Ovis aries: one gene and its partners. The protein of the gene in region 1 purifies or fractionates together with the protein of each later gene. This does not show direct contact. Links are inferred from orthologs where the notes say so. Each region holds a gene or a part of one and is shown in the gene's direction. Other genes may lie near its edges.

Evidence for each region.
Region 2: the proteins of SNRPD3 (region 1) and PRMT5 purify together in Homo sapiens (affinity purification with mass spectrometry; 3 studies listed by BioGRID and IntAct, with this or other methods). This does not show direct contact. The link is inferred for Ovis aries from reciprocal best matches to the Homo sapiens genes SNRPD3 and PRMT5.
Region 3: the proteins of SNRPD3 (region 1) and CDC5L purify together in Homo sapiens (affinity purification with mass spectrometry; 3 studies listed by BioGRID and IntAct, with this or other methods). This does not show direct contact. The link is inferred for Ovis aries from reciprocal best matches to the Homo sapiens genes SNRPD3 and CDC5L.

What each region holds. Positions count from the first base shown.
Region 1 is NC_056070.1:71,547,332-71,552,071, reverse strand, and holds the start of SNRPD3 (small nuclear ribonucleoprotein Sm D3), read left to right. Parts: upstream 1-1,704; 5' UTR 1,705-1,820; intron 1,821-3,681; 5' UTR 3,682-3,699; coding exon 3,700-3,825; intron 3,826-4,740. Other genes in the region: protein GUCD1, read right to left, coding at 1,360-1,564. UniProt on the Homo sapiens protein: Plays a role in pre-mRNA splicing as a core component of the spliceosomal U1, U2, U4 and U5 small nuclear ribonucleoproteins (snRNPs), the building blocks of the spliceosome.
Region 2 is NC_056060.1:21,732,880-21,736,926, forward strand, and holds the start of PRMT5 (protein arginine N-methyltransferase 5), read left to right. Parts: upstream 1-1,247; 5' UTR 1,248-1,261; coding exon 1,262-1,371; exon of another isoform or gene 1,372-1,398; coding exon of another isoform or gene 1,399-1,457; intron 1,458-2,023; coding exon 2,024-2,142; intron 2,143-2,440; coding exon 2,441-2,526; intron 2,527-2,681; coding exon 2,682-2,816; intron 2,817-3,168; coding exon 3,169-3,281; intron 3,282-3,613; coding exon 3,614-3,663; intron 3,664-3,871; coding exon 3,872-4,035; intron 4,036-4,047. UniProt on the Homo sapiens protein: Arginine methyltransferase that can both catalyze the formation of omega-N monomethylarginine (MMA) and symmetrical dimethylarginine (sDMA), with a preference for the formation of MMA.
Region 3 is NC_056073.1:17,846,965-17,850,953, forward strand, and holds the start of CDC5L (cell division cycle 5-like protein), read left to right. Parts: upstream 1-1,189; 5' UTR 1,190-1,303; coding exon 1,304-1,348; intron 1,349-3,670; coding exon 3,671-3,774; intron 3,775-3,989.

The sequences.
Region 1 (4,740 bases):
GGGGACAGCCCTGGACCCAAATCCTTGCTGCAGCCACAGTCGTGCCCCATGGATGCCTCAGGGCTGGGGTCTCCCCCGTGCGGGCACCTCACTGTAGAGTTCACCAGCCCTTTCTTGTCAACTGTATGTTGCAGAGGGGATGGGGAACCACTGCTCGCCCTCTCCCACTCAGAAAAGCACACGGAGGCTGGCCGCTGATTTATCAGTGTGTGCCCCCTTCCCCACCCCCCAGCAAAGGAACTCAGGCGCTGGGGAAGGCGGGACTAGAGAAGGAAGACTCCGTAGCAAGACAACAGGCAGGAGTCTGGGAGGCCAGGGGCAGGCTGTCCCTCCCTGCCCTGCCAGTTGCCTGCCCCGTCTAAGGCCTCAGTTACCGGAGAGGGGACAGGCTCTCCCCAAAGCAGCTCCAAAGAGGACTTTTCGCTCCAGGGAAAGGTGACCCCTCCCCCCGCCCCGGCCGCTCAACCAGGACCCTCCTTCCCTCCATGACCGCAAGCGAGAGATGCCCAGGGGTGTCCCTGCTCAGGGAGTTATCAGGAAAAACAAACAAACCCCAACTGACCGTAGCCGGCCCGGCGGGACCCGCCGGAGCGCACACCTGCCCAGGTTTTGCTCAGAGCTCAACAGCCGGGGCCGCGGCGGCGGTCGGCCCAAGGTCGCGCGGCCGGACCCTGCCCGGCGCTCGGGCGGGGTTCCCCCCCAAACTCGATTCCCAGGCTGAGGGCTGCCCCCCAACCCTGATCCCGGATCCCCGATCCCCAGGGCCCTGCCCCGCGCCCACCGCGATCCCCGGGGTCAGGGCCGCCCCCCGATCCCCGGGGCCCTGCCCCGCGCCCACCGCGATCCCCGGGGTCAGGGCCGCCCCCCGATCCCCAGGGCCCTGCCCCGCGCCCACCGCGATCCCCGGGGTCAGGGCCGCCCCCCGATCCCCGGGGCCCTGCCCGGCGCCCACCGCGATCCCCGGGGTCAGGGCCGCCCCCCGATCCCCGGGGCCCTGCCCCGCGCCCACCGCGATCCCCGGGGTGACGGGGGGACCACACTGACCGGGCTCGAGCGGCGGCCCCGCTGCCTGCGCGTCCACCTCCGTCCTCATGACCCGGGCGGCGCGGGGCTCCCATGGCCCCGGCCCGGCGCGGGCTGCAGCTCTGGCGTCGACTGGGGACGGGAGCGCGCGGCCGGCGCGCGCCGGCTCCCCGGGCGGCCAGCACCAGCGCCCCGGGGGGAGCGGGGGCGGGAGGCGGCGGCGGCCCCAGGCCCCGCCCCGGCCCGCCCCGGCCCGCCCCGGCTCCCACGCCGGCGGCCCCCCGGCCCGCTGCTCCGGGTCCCCGCTCTCCCTGTCCGCACGCCGGGGGCACTCGCCTCGCTCGGGGCACCCCTTCCCCGGCGCCGTCGGCTTCCCAGGCTTCCCCTGCGGGGGCAGGTCCCGGCCCCGGGCCCCCGCCGCCGCCGCCGCCCGCCTCGCTGTCCAGCCCGCGTCTGGCGTCGGGCGCTGGGGACCGCGAGTCCCCCTCGGCCCGGGCCGGCCCGAGGGTCGCTGTTTCCGGCGGCACCTGGGTCCGGTCATCAGCCCCGCTCTTCCCCGGGCCCGGAACTATTGTACCCGAGCTCGGGTTCCCCAGCCGGCGCGGTAAGGATGAACGCGAAGGCGAGAGACGTCGCCCGCCGCCACTCGGGTAAAGGAAGGGGGCGGGCCCTGCGCGAGGCATTTTGGGAACGCGTGGTATTCTGGGAGCGCGCGGCCCGCCATTCGCGCCCTCACGCCTTCGCAGTCGCCGGAGTTCCGTCTGCCCTGCCGCCTCTGAAAGAGGAGCCCGGAGCCGGTGAGGACGGGGCCGGGGGTGCGGGGAGGGCGAGGGCTAGGCCGAGGTCCCGCGGGGGGCCGGGGGGCTGGAGGAGGACGCGCCGCCGAGGAGCCCTGCGGTGCTCGTGGAGGGAGAGCCGCGGGGAGCTGGGCCACCCCGACCCCCAGCGGCGCCTCCCAAGCGCCTGGAGGTGCGTTCGTTAGCTTTTTCCCCGAAGTACTTGCTCTTCGGTTTCCGAACCTCTCCAGGCCGGTGTTTCTCGAAGTATCCAGGCAGTGGTCTTGAGATCGTTCCTGGCTGGTGGCCACCTTCCCCCCAGATCCCTACTTGGCTGATTTCTTTTCAAAGCCCTTGGCATCTCTGCCTCCCTCCCCCTTCCAGGACCTGATCCCCTAACGCTGGAAACACAGGTTATCACATTTCCTTGCTTCTGTCTAAATCGTGTTGCAGCGTCTTGTAACTCCGGCTGCCCTTCCGTGGGGTAGTCTCTGTGCTGCCCCGGTTCCCCCAGCTGCGGTTCAGCGTTGTCCTCAGCAATGGAACCTGTTTTTTCCTAACCTCTCCCGGTCCTTTTCCTCTCTTTCGACCTCCTGCTGCGTGTCAACCGAAAAAATACCGCCACCTAAAAGCTGAGAATTAGGTTTATTCGGTGGGAATCATGAGGACTCCGAGCCCGGAAGACAGGATTTCAGGCGACCCCTGGGAGAGAGAAATGTTGGGTGGGGTGGAGTCAGGCTACAAAGAAGTTTGCAGCAAGGGGCAGGTAATCTGAATATTAAAAGATGACTGTTGAGTAATGGAGACCAGATCTCCGGCCTGAAGAGATTTAATACTTTTCTGTTCTTTGGGAAGATGCAAGAGTCCGGGCTTCCTGAAATCTTTTCTTTCACATGCATCTCAGCTATCTGGGGCCAATTCCTGCTTTTCGGCTGTTCACAGCCTAATTCCTCCTTTACCCTAAAGTTAAGGTACGAGGGACCGCCTCTTGTGCTTCTGACATCCCCCAGCTCCTCAGCACTTACAGGAAGTAACGGACAGCTGCCAAAAAGCCAGTATGGTTTTTACCTGGGCTTAAAAATTTGCATTTGGAAGGCTGGAATACCAGATGGCTGCGACGTGCCTTGATTACTGGAGAGCAGAAAGCATTTCATTTTACAGAAGTTTTCGTTTTATACACCCGTCTTGGGATTGAAAAAATCCACTTGCTTTTTTTCTCTCTTAATTAGATCAAGTCGGGGTTCTCCCTGGTTATATTTTCCCTCCAGGGTGAGCGTTTCCCACTTGTAGCACGCCGCCACCTTGTGAACACTTGGATATTTTCTCTTTAGCTTAATGGTGAAGTAAGTAGACGGTCAGAGTGCTTAATGGGTTGAATTAAACGCACAGCCCCGTCTGAGCTTCCCAGATGGCGCTAGTGGTTAAAAAGACCTCTTGCCAGTGCAGGAGATGTAAGAGACGTGGGCTCCATCCCTGGGTGGGGAAGATCCCCTGGAAAAGGGCGTGGCAGCCCACTCCAGTATTGTTGCCTGGAGAATCCCACGGACAGAGGAACCTGGTGGGCTACAGTCCATGGGGTCGCAGAGAGTCAGAAAAGCGACTTAACATGCGCACTCAAGAGCCCTGTGGTGGAAGGAAGATGGGAGGCAGCTCTTTCCCGTCAGCTTTCCCCCTGTTGAGGCCCTGTTCCTCCCCACTCACACCCTGCACGTGTTTGCCAGATGGGTCCTTCAAGCTCAGAATTCAGCTAAAAAAAAAACTAGTGCACCTCTGGCAACTTTGCTGAGTTTTCCAGAGTGTCAGCCTTGAGGGGTTGTGGTGTTTGCACATGCGTTCTTGGGCGTCGGAAGATGAGCTAACTGCTGTCTCTCTCTCACCGCAGAACTCTCTTCCTGCCGGGATGTCTATCGGAGTGCCGATCAAAGTCCTCCACGAGGCCGAGGGCCACATCGTGACGTGTGAGACGAACACTGGCGAGGTGTATCGGGGCAAGCTCATCGAGGCGGAGGACAACATGAACTGCCAGGTGCCCTGCTCTGTGCGGGGCCGGGGCGGGCCGGAGCCTCGGAGGGCAGGGCGCGGGCGGCTGGGGCTCCTTGAGGTTCTTGCTCAGCGGTGGTTCACCGAGTGCCTAAGCTGTGCCAGGCCCTATTAGAGGTGCCAGAGAGGCGGGCATCAGTGAGAGCCTCTTGGAGGTTGAGAATATGAAACCTAGAATCTGACTGTTTAGATTGCTCGTCCTTCGCTGCTCCCAGTCCCGTGGTTGTCTTCTCACGGACTTTGGGCCCATTTAAGAGAAGCAGCACAGCCTTCCGGAGGAGGCAGTGGCACCCCACTCCAGCGCTCTTGCCTGGAAAATCCTGTGGACGGGGAGCCTGGCGGGCTGCGGTCTGTGGGGTCGCACAGAGTCGGACACGACTGAAGCGACTCAGCAGCAGCAGCGCAGCCTTCAGCGGAGCCGTCAGGCTCAGCGCCCCCGCCCCGCACAGCGCGTTTGCACAGTGCTTTGCAGCTAGCAGAGTCTTCGCTCGCATACTCTGGGTATTTGCCATTTTCCTAGCAGAAGCACCTCGTGTGACTGCACTCGGAGCAAATACTTGGCCAAGCAAGCAGGTTTGGGTGATAGTTTTATCCATGAAATGGGAAGAATGAGATTACGGGACTCACCTGCTGAATATCGCTCTGCCAAGACGTGTTGGACCCACTGCTTGGTGCGCTTCCCTTCCCACGGCGCGTGAATTCGCATGGCATCGCTTTACAGTGTGGGTCGCAGTTTCTGTTTAGGAGCTTGGGCTTTGGAATTGGATGTGGGTTTGAATTTCAGCTGGCTTTGGAATGTTAATTACCTGTTTGTTCATCTGTAAAAGGCGGATAGAGTTAACTCGGCAAGAGATTGACTGGGGGAGCTGACTGCTGCAGAGGGTCAAGGGGCAGGGGCAGG
Region 2 (4,047 bases), on another chromosome or scaffold:
TCTGGCTCTGATCACTATTCCTCCAACTCTCTATTACACAGCGCCCCCTAGACGTCCAATTCAGCATTTCCAAACCCAAACCCTGATTCTCCCTAAAAGAGCTTCTCATTTCCTGTAGCACTCAAAGAGGCCAAAATCTTGGGCTTCAGCCGCAGACTTCCCTTATCAGGCTTCCTGTCCGTTGGTCACTAAGTTCTGTGACCTCCTGCCTCGGGCCTTCCGTATTGTGTTCTCTATCCATCCTCGCTGCCAGGCCCTCAACACCTCTGGGTCTTCAGGTTCTCTTTCTCCTCCCTATATCTTTCTTTGCTTCGTTCTTTTCCATCCCTGTAGCAGGTGTTCACAAAGAAAATGTAGAAATTCTCTAGAAAGGAAAATGTTGAGATTCTCTCAGGTCTCCGCCAGGCTGTTCATAACTCCTCTCCACTGTAATTCCTCACCATGAGTTTTTTTTTCTTTTCCTTCCTATCTTCAGTGTGTGTTTAGATGTTTATTTACTTTTTGTTTGTTTGAGATATAGAATAGAAAGGAGTTGGTGGCTAAATTGCCACAATCTATTAAAAAATATACTAAGGCCCATACAAAGCCCAATTTAGTCATTACCTCAATTTTCTCAGGATTTTGAAGGACCTAAATAGAGACACAAGAACCATCTTTGAATTAGGCAATGGAAAACGCTGACATAAAATGGCTGCAGAACGCAATAAAATTATGAGCTAAAAATGAGGGTAAGAGGAGATCATAAGGAAATTTAGAAAGGGAAGAACGGGATACTTTCAAAATACTGCTTATGACAGTATTGCATGGGATGCAACAAAAACACACGCGTCTCCCCGAGCCAGCCAGGAGTCGAACCTGGAATCTTCTGATCCGTAGTCAGACGCGTTATCCATTGCGCCACTGGCCCCGAGACGACTTCGCTGGCCCCAATGATGACACTTCAAGCTTATACTGCAGGGCTTCATGGGACGTGTAGTCTCTGCACGGAGTTCTACGAGTACACGAAGCATTATGGGAGATTAAGTTCGTCGAGAATCAGACCCTGAGATTGGTGACTGTTCCGAAGCCTCGCCGTACGTCACTGTGAAGCCCGCGGATTGGCGAGAAGAGCCACTCCCCACCCTTCCTCCTCCAGCTCTAGAGCCGTGGGAGACGCTCTGGTTGTTAAGGTGAAACGTCCCGCCTTCTGGGGGCTTTTTTCCGGCTTTGTGATTGGCTGCTAGCTTCAGGGAATCTCGGCGTGGATTGCGCGAGGGAAAAGATGGCGGCGATGGCGGTCGGTGGTGCCGGTGGAAGCCGCGTGTCCAGCGGGAGGGACCTGAATTGCGTCCCCGAAATAGCTGACACACTGGGGGCTGTGGCCAAGCAGGGGTGAGGGCCTGGACCTCCGCGAGCTGAATGCGGGGTCCGAACTCGGGGACCGAGAGGGACAGACCAGTCATCCCCGAGAGGCAGGGGTGAGGGGGTCGAAGTGGATGAGACCAGGGCGGGAGAAACCATTTAGTCCTTCGGGGGGAGAAGCCTCGGGCCCTGGAGCTTGAGAGGAGGGCGGGAAACTTATTGGGGGCGTGTGGTCACTGAACCCCAAAGTCGGAGGAGTTATCAAGTAAATTCAAAAAGGGGGCGTAGAGACCTCCAGGGCCCCGTGTGAGATTGGGAGAAATAGTTAGGAGGTTAGGGAGAGGAGAGTTAAACCATGAGGGGGGATACTTAGGCAGTACTGCTGCCGATCTGGATGTGACAGTCTCGGAAAACCAGTGACAGCAGAGTAGAAAGTCCACGTGGTGTGGATATTCATCTTTTCTCTTAACTCATCTTTTCCATGGCTGTGTCCTGGCGAGAAATTGAGGCACAGTGCAGCGGAAGTGATATGCCCCAAGGTTGGCTGAATTCAGCAGTCTAGTCGGGTCGCTGGTGGCAGCTGAAAGGGTTGTGCAGAATCAAGAGAGCCAGTCCAATTACTTGGATCTCTGGGCACTGCTGCTGTCTTTACATGACGATTCTGGGTCTGTCGCGGTTGTAGGTTTGATTTCCTCTGCATGCCTGTGTTCCACCCGCGTTTCAAGAGGGAATTCACTCAGGAACCTGCTAAGAGTCGGCCGGGCCCCCAGACACGATCAGACCTACTGCTGTCAGGAAGGGGTAGGGAGCATCCCACATGCCCCTTAATTATTAGAGGCAGTAACAACTTATGCTTTATCAGTGCCTTCCTCCTCTTCCTTTCTTCACTTGGATATATTGGTTCGCCCCACGGATATAGATAACTCCTTACCTACCTACTAAAAGCCTTAGTTCCCTATTCTGTCAGGCTCTCCTGTATCTGTGATAGAAAAAGTCTTTGTCTCATCTGTAACTCTATTCCCTGTTAAGAACTAGAAATTGAATGAGTAAAGTGCTGAACCTTATTTAGTCTTTGTCTTTCTTGGGTGGGGGAGTGCAGACTGGAATACACTAATTGTGGGAAAGCTTTCTCCATGGATTCGTCCAGACTCAAAAGTGGAGAAGATACGCAGGAACTCTGAGGCGGTAAGACTGACCTCTTCACTGACTAAATATCAGTAAACAAGTTGGGTGGGGAGAGCACTTTTTCCCCACTCTGTAACTTAGTAAATTTGATATAATGCAATTAAAGCTATTTGAGTTGCTAGCTCTTAACTTTATCCTTTTAATCTCTATTCCAGGCTATGTTACAGGAGCTGAATTTTGGGGCATATTTGGGTCTTCCAGCTTTTCTGCTGCCCCTAAATCAGGAAGATAACACAAACTTGGCGAGAGTTTTGACCAATCACATCCACACTGGCCACCACTCCTCCATGGTATGGCAAGGGCTTCCTTCCCTGCTGCATATTATGATAGTCAGGCTGTGCTAAGTATCTTCTTGTTCCTAGCCATTCAGTGAAGGGTGCATTTGGGAGAACTGAAATGTCAGTACTGCCTACCCACACTAAGAGTGGTGAGCAAAGTATTATAAAACGTATAGAATATCAGTTATTTCCCACAACTTCTAGAGATAAAAGACAACATATAATCACAAATTGGGAATAGGATATAAGGGGATTAGCTTGAAATCTGGATCAAGATCTTTTTAATTGAAGGAAGCTTTCTGGACCCAATGGGTTCAAAACAGTTCTAAATAGGGTGTGGAACCTATTTATTGTTCATGTGCAGTTCTGGATGCGGGTGCCATTGGTGGCACCAGAGGACCTGAGAGATGATATAATTGAGAACGCACCAACTTCTCACACAGAGGAGTACAGTGGAGAGGAGAAGACATGGATGTGGTATGTTTCCTTTTGCCACTGTACCTGGGGTGGAGGGAAGTACAGAGTGGAACCTGTAGGAAGGTCTCCCTGAGGTGTGGTGATTAGTGGGCCGTATGTATTTGATGGAGCTTCCCTGGTGGCTCAGACAGTAAATGGTCCGCCTGCAATGCTGGAGACCTGGGTTCAATCCCTAGGTCAGGAAGACCCTCTGGAGAAGGAACTGGCAACCCACTCTAGTATTCTTGCCTGGAAAATTCCATGGACAGAGGAGCCTGGAGGGCTGCAGTCCATGGAGTCACAAGAGTTGGACATGACTGAGCAACTAACTTCTGTGTTTTAACTCTGCACAGGTGGCACAACTTCCGGACCTTGTGTGATTACAGCAAGAGGATTGCAGTGGGTGAGTCCACAAAGATCCTGGGATAGGTTATCCTTCTCTGAAATCCTGTGACTAAAAATCAGGAGTCTCATGTATACTTGGCTGCTGGGGCATACTTTCTCCATGCTTTAGTCTGCCTTGCTCTTAAGGAGGAGACAGATCTTGCACAAAAGAGCATGCAAAGATTCTGGCCTGTATGATTGACAGGTCTTTGTTTTCCCTTTTGTAGCTCTTGAAATTGGTGCTGACCTCCCATCTAACCATGTCATTGATCGTTGGCTTGGGGAGCCCATCAAAGCAGCCATTCTCCCCACCAGCATTTTCCTGACCAATAAGAAGGGATTCCCTGTTCTTTCTAAGATGCACCAGAGGCTGATCTTCCGACTTCTCAAGGTGTGTAGTGGA
Region 3 (3,989 bases), on another chromosome or scaffold:
GCACCTATCAACAGTAGCTCTCTGCTATTAATATTAAGCCATGTAGACTGAAGTGCAATAAATGGAAAACTCTGACATGACTGTTTCTGGGACAATCTCTGATCACTTGAGCTTGCGCTTCTCGTAGTAACAGTTGCCATTTTTGTGAGCACTTCTTAGGTATCAGATACTACGATGGATTTACGATCTCATTTAACCCTTGTTAGTTGCTCAGTCCGGAGAAGGCAATGGTACCCCACTCCAGTACTCTTGCCTGGAAAATCCCATGGATGGAGGAGCGTGGTGGGCTGCAGTCCATGGGGTCGCTAAGAGTCGTACACCACTGAGCGACTTCATTTTCACTTTTCACCTTCATGCACTGGAGAAGGAAATGGCAACTCACTCCAGTATTCTTGCCTGGAGAATCCCAGTGACGGGGGAGCCTGGCGGGCTGCCGTCTATGGGGTCGCACAGAGTCGGACACGACTGAAGCGACTTAGCAGTAGCAGCAGCAATTGCTCAGTCGTCTGCCACTCTGAGACCCCATGGACTATACCCCGCCAGGCTCCTCTGTCTACGGAATTCTCCAGGCAAGAATACTGGAGTGGGTGGCCATTTCCTTCTCCAGAGGATCTTTTCCATTCAGAGATCGAAGCCGGGTTTCCCGAATTGCAGGCAGATTCTTTTACCACCTGAGCCTCCAGGGAAACCCCTATTCAATCCTTAGGAAAACCCTATGAAGTTGGCACTATTATTGTCTCTATTTTGCAGGTTAGGAAATTTAGGCTTAAATAAGCTATTGCCTCTCCCTGAATATTTTTTGAATAAATTCTTGTTCGTTAAATGCTTAATAAAGTGCTAAGTTAATAAATTATCAACGCTATTTTTAGACCAGCCGAGGTTAAACCCTACAGGAGTGACGTTCCTATTCTTTGCCACAACGTGACGTCACGACCAATCCCAGGACTACATTCCCAGCCAAGAGCCTCCGCCGACATCTCGCGAAAGCCGCGGTTTCTTCCAACCTATTTTGGGCATGCGCGCGGCTTCGAGTACCTTGGCTAGAGTGGTTTGATGATTTTCCGTCAGTCTCCCTAGAGTAGAGTTTTACCATCGAGGCACTTATTTCCTTCCAGTCACTCCAGTTCTCGCGAGACTTGCTACTCCTGCTCTTTCCCCACCCCGCCCCCGCGCTTGCGCAGAGCTCTTCAAAGCAGAAGGTCGCGCTTGGAGGAAGTGGCGGCTTTGGGTCCCGTGGCCGCCGCGCCGTTACTACTTCTCGGAAGCTCCGCTCGGCCGCTTGCCGAGACACCCCGCCGCCAAGATGCCTCGAATTATGATTAAGGGGGGCGTGTGGAGGAATACCGAGGTAAGTCCCCTTTTCCCGCCGTCTGCCCTCCGCCCCTCCGGCTGCGGGTGCGCACGCGCGCAGAGGTCCGGGAGGTGGAGAGGATGCCTTCGGGGTCTGCGTGGGGGGTGGTGCGGGGCCTTTACCCTGTGCCTGGACCTCAGTTATCTGAGCATCTCAAGGACAGGGACCGTGATTTAACCGCTTGATTACCTGCGGGGCACTCGTTAGGCCCTCAGTGAACATTTGTTGAGCTGACGCGTCCTCCGCCGTGGTGGAACTCACAGTAGGAGGGGGACACAGGACAATTGCGATAGTCGGTCTTCTAAGCCCCGCCCCCCGCACCCCACCGTTCCTCATCCCAGGCTCCGCGACTCTTTGCTGTTGAAAAATGAAGAGGTGCTGTGGCCACAACTTTGTTCTTTCCTTGAGTTCCTTGCTGAGGGGAAGCAGTTTGAGTGCCAGGTCCTAAGTACCTGGTTGTGTCCGCGTCCCCGCGGTCATGTTACCACGGCGTAACTTGTCCGCCCTCCGGTCACCCAAGGCCTGTCTCTTCCGCTTCATGTTGGGTAGAAGCCAGATAGGCCTACCATAGTCTCTTTGCTTCCAGAAATGTAGTGGATCGTGCCATTGGTGAACCAAAGAACAGTAGAAGAGTAAAATAGAAACAAGGTTTTAGTGCAGTTTCTGTTTATAGTGCCCTGAACTTGTCAGTTTCCCCAGAACACTCTGTCTTTTTACATCTTGCACCTTCTTGAAATATCCTCCTACTGCTTGGCATCTTTCTGACCTTCCTTCAAAAACAGTTCAGAAACTCTTCTGAAATTGGTCCAGAAGACCCATCCATTTGCCTGGTCATCCGGTAAAAAGTATTTGCACCTGCAATGGTCCCTGGACACCTCTTCTCATCCATTTGTTATGGTTTGCTTTTTTTTTTTTTTTGCAAGCATCACATCCTGTTTGATGCTGGGATTATTAACCTCTCAGAGACTCAGGTTTCTAATGGGGATGATAATAATATACTTATCTCTCGGAATTAAATGAGTCACTGCATTTGGAATATTTAGAACAGAGTCTGGCACATAGTAATCTTTCAGAAAGTACTACCTGCTGTTTCTTTTCCCCAGTAGACAGCACTGCAAGTGCGCAGGATCAGATCTTGCTATCTTTAGAACTCCGGACAGTGCCAAACAAAGTTTGCTTGGGAAATTTTGCTGAATGGATCTAGTAGGGTGTATAACTGTAGTATATACTTAGTTGAAGATGTGATTAAGTATAGCAGTACTGCAACAAAGTTACAAATTAAGTCAGTGAGAACCTTGCCTCTCAGCTTGCACAGAGGGGACCAGGCTGTTTCAGTTGGAGAAGAGATGACTTCTGAGGGAGAGACAGATGTACCAAATCAAGTAACAGCAGGATTCTGATGCTGTGGCCAAAGCCCTGCAGTCCTTGAGTCTCAGATGTTAGGGGTGTGGAGTGGCGAGGAGTGGCTAACATATGAGGCATATAGCTCAAGTTCATTGTGGGGAAAAAACCCTAAAAGTAAAATGCCCTGAGTGCATTCATCTATGGCTCTGATATCCCTGGTGTCTTTGGTTTAGCCTGACAGGCTCCCTTGGGATTGGTGAATTCTTTATTGGAATGGGTGCCCTGGTGAAATAGTATCTAGAGACTGGGGGGAAATTAGAGGCAGAGTTGATTGGTGACTTAGGGGAGACGTACTCAATTCTTAGGTTAGACCTGAGATATGGATTCTTAGGTGAGAGTGGGGGCTGTGGGACTGGAGAGAAAATGCTGTTCATAAACTGGGAAGCCTCAATTGGAAATTGGATTCACTTGAGTCTTGACTTTTTGAGGGCTGGATGTGTCCTGTTTTATCTTGTTTTCTCAAGTATTGATATACAAGACCTGATACAAGGCTGGTGTTTGGGCAGTATTTTTTGTGAATCAGTAAATCAATGAGCCATAATCTTTTTAAGAGACTAACAACCACACATTGGAGAATTCTTTTTAAAATCTCTGTCAAGTGGGGTTTCTCACATTGGGCTGTACCCACTCAATTTTTGGATGGGATTGGGGGAGGGGTTGTGTGTAAGGGAGGGTAGGATATCCTTCTAAGGGAGTTCTTAATTTCTTTCATTTTGTTGATTCTGGGTTGCTGTTTTTTTTTAAATTTTTATTATTGTAATGAAGTTTTATACTTTTGTTTTAAATTTAGGATATACGTGCGTGTTTATATCTCTTTCTCCCTAGTACAACCCAGTTAGAGTTAATTTAAATCTTGTCTTTTCTCACTTGGAGTTTTGTGAATGAATACATTGTTTTTCCTTTGAAAAAATTTAGGATGAAATTCTGAAAGCAGCGGTGATGAAATATGGGAAAAACCAGTGGTCTAGGATTGCCTCACTGCTGCATAGAAAGTCAGCAAAGCAGTGCAAAGCCAGATGGTATGTATCAGCTAATGAGTGGAAAACACAAAATGACCTTCATTATGATGAGGAAAATGTCATTTCTTTGAACCTTACCAAAGAAAAGCAGGCACTGTGATGTAACAGAAAGTAGGGAGTGGGAGTTGGGAATTTCAGTGTGAGAATTAGCTGTCTTTTGCTTCGTAAGTGGTCTTAGGCAAGCCATTTTCTGTCCCCTCTCTCCTGCCATTGTT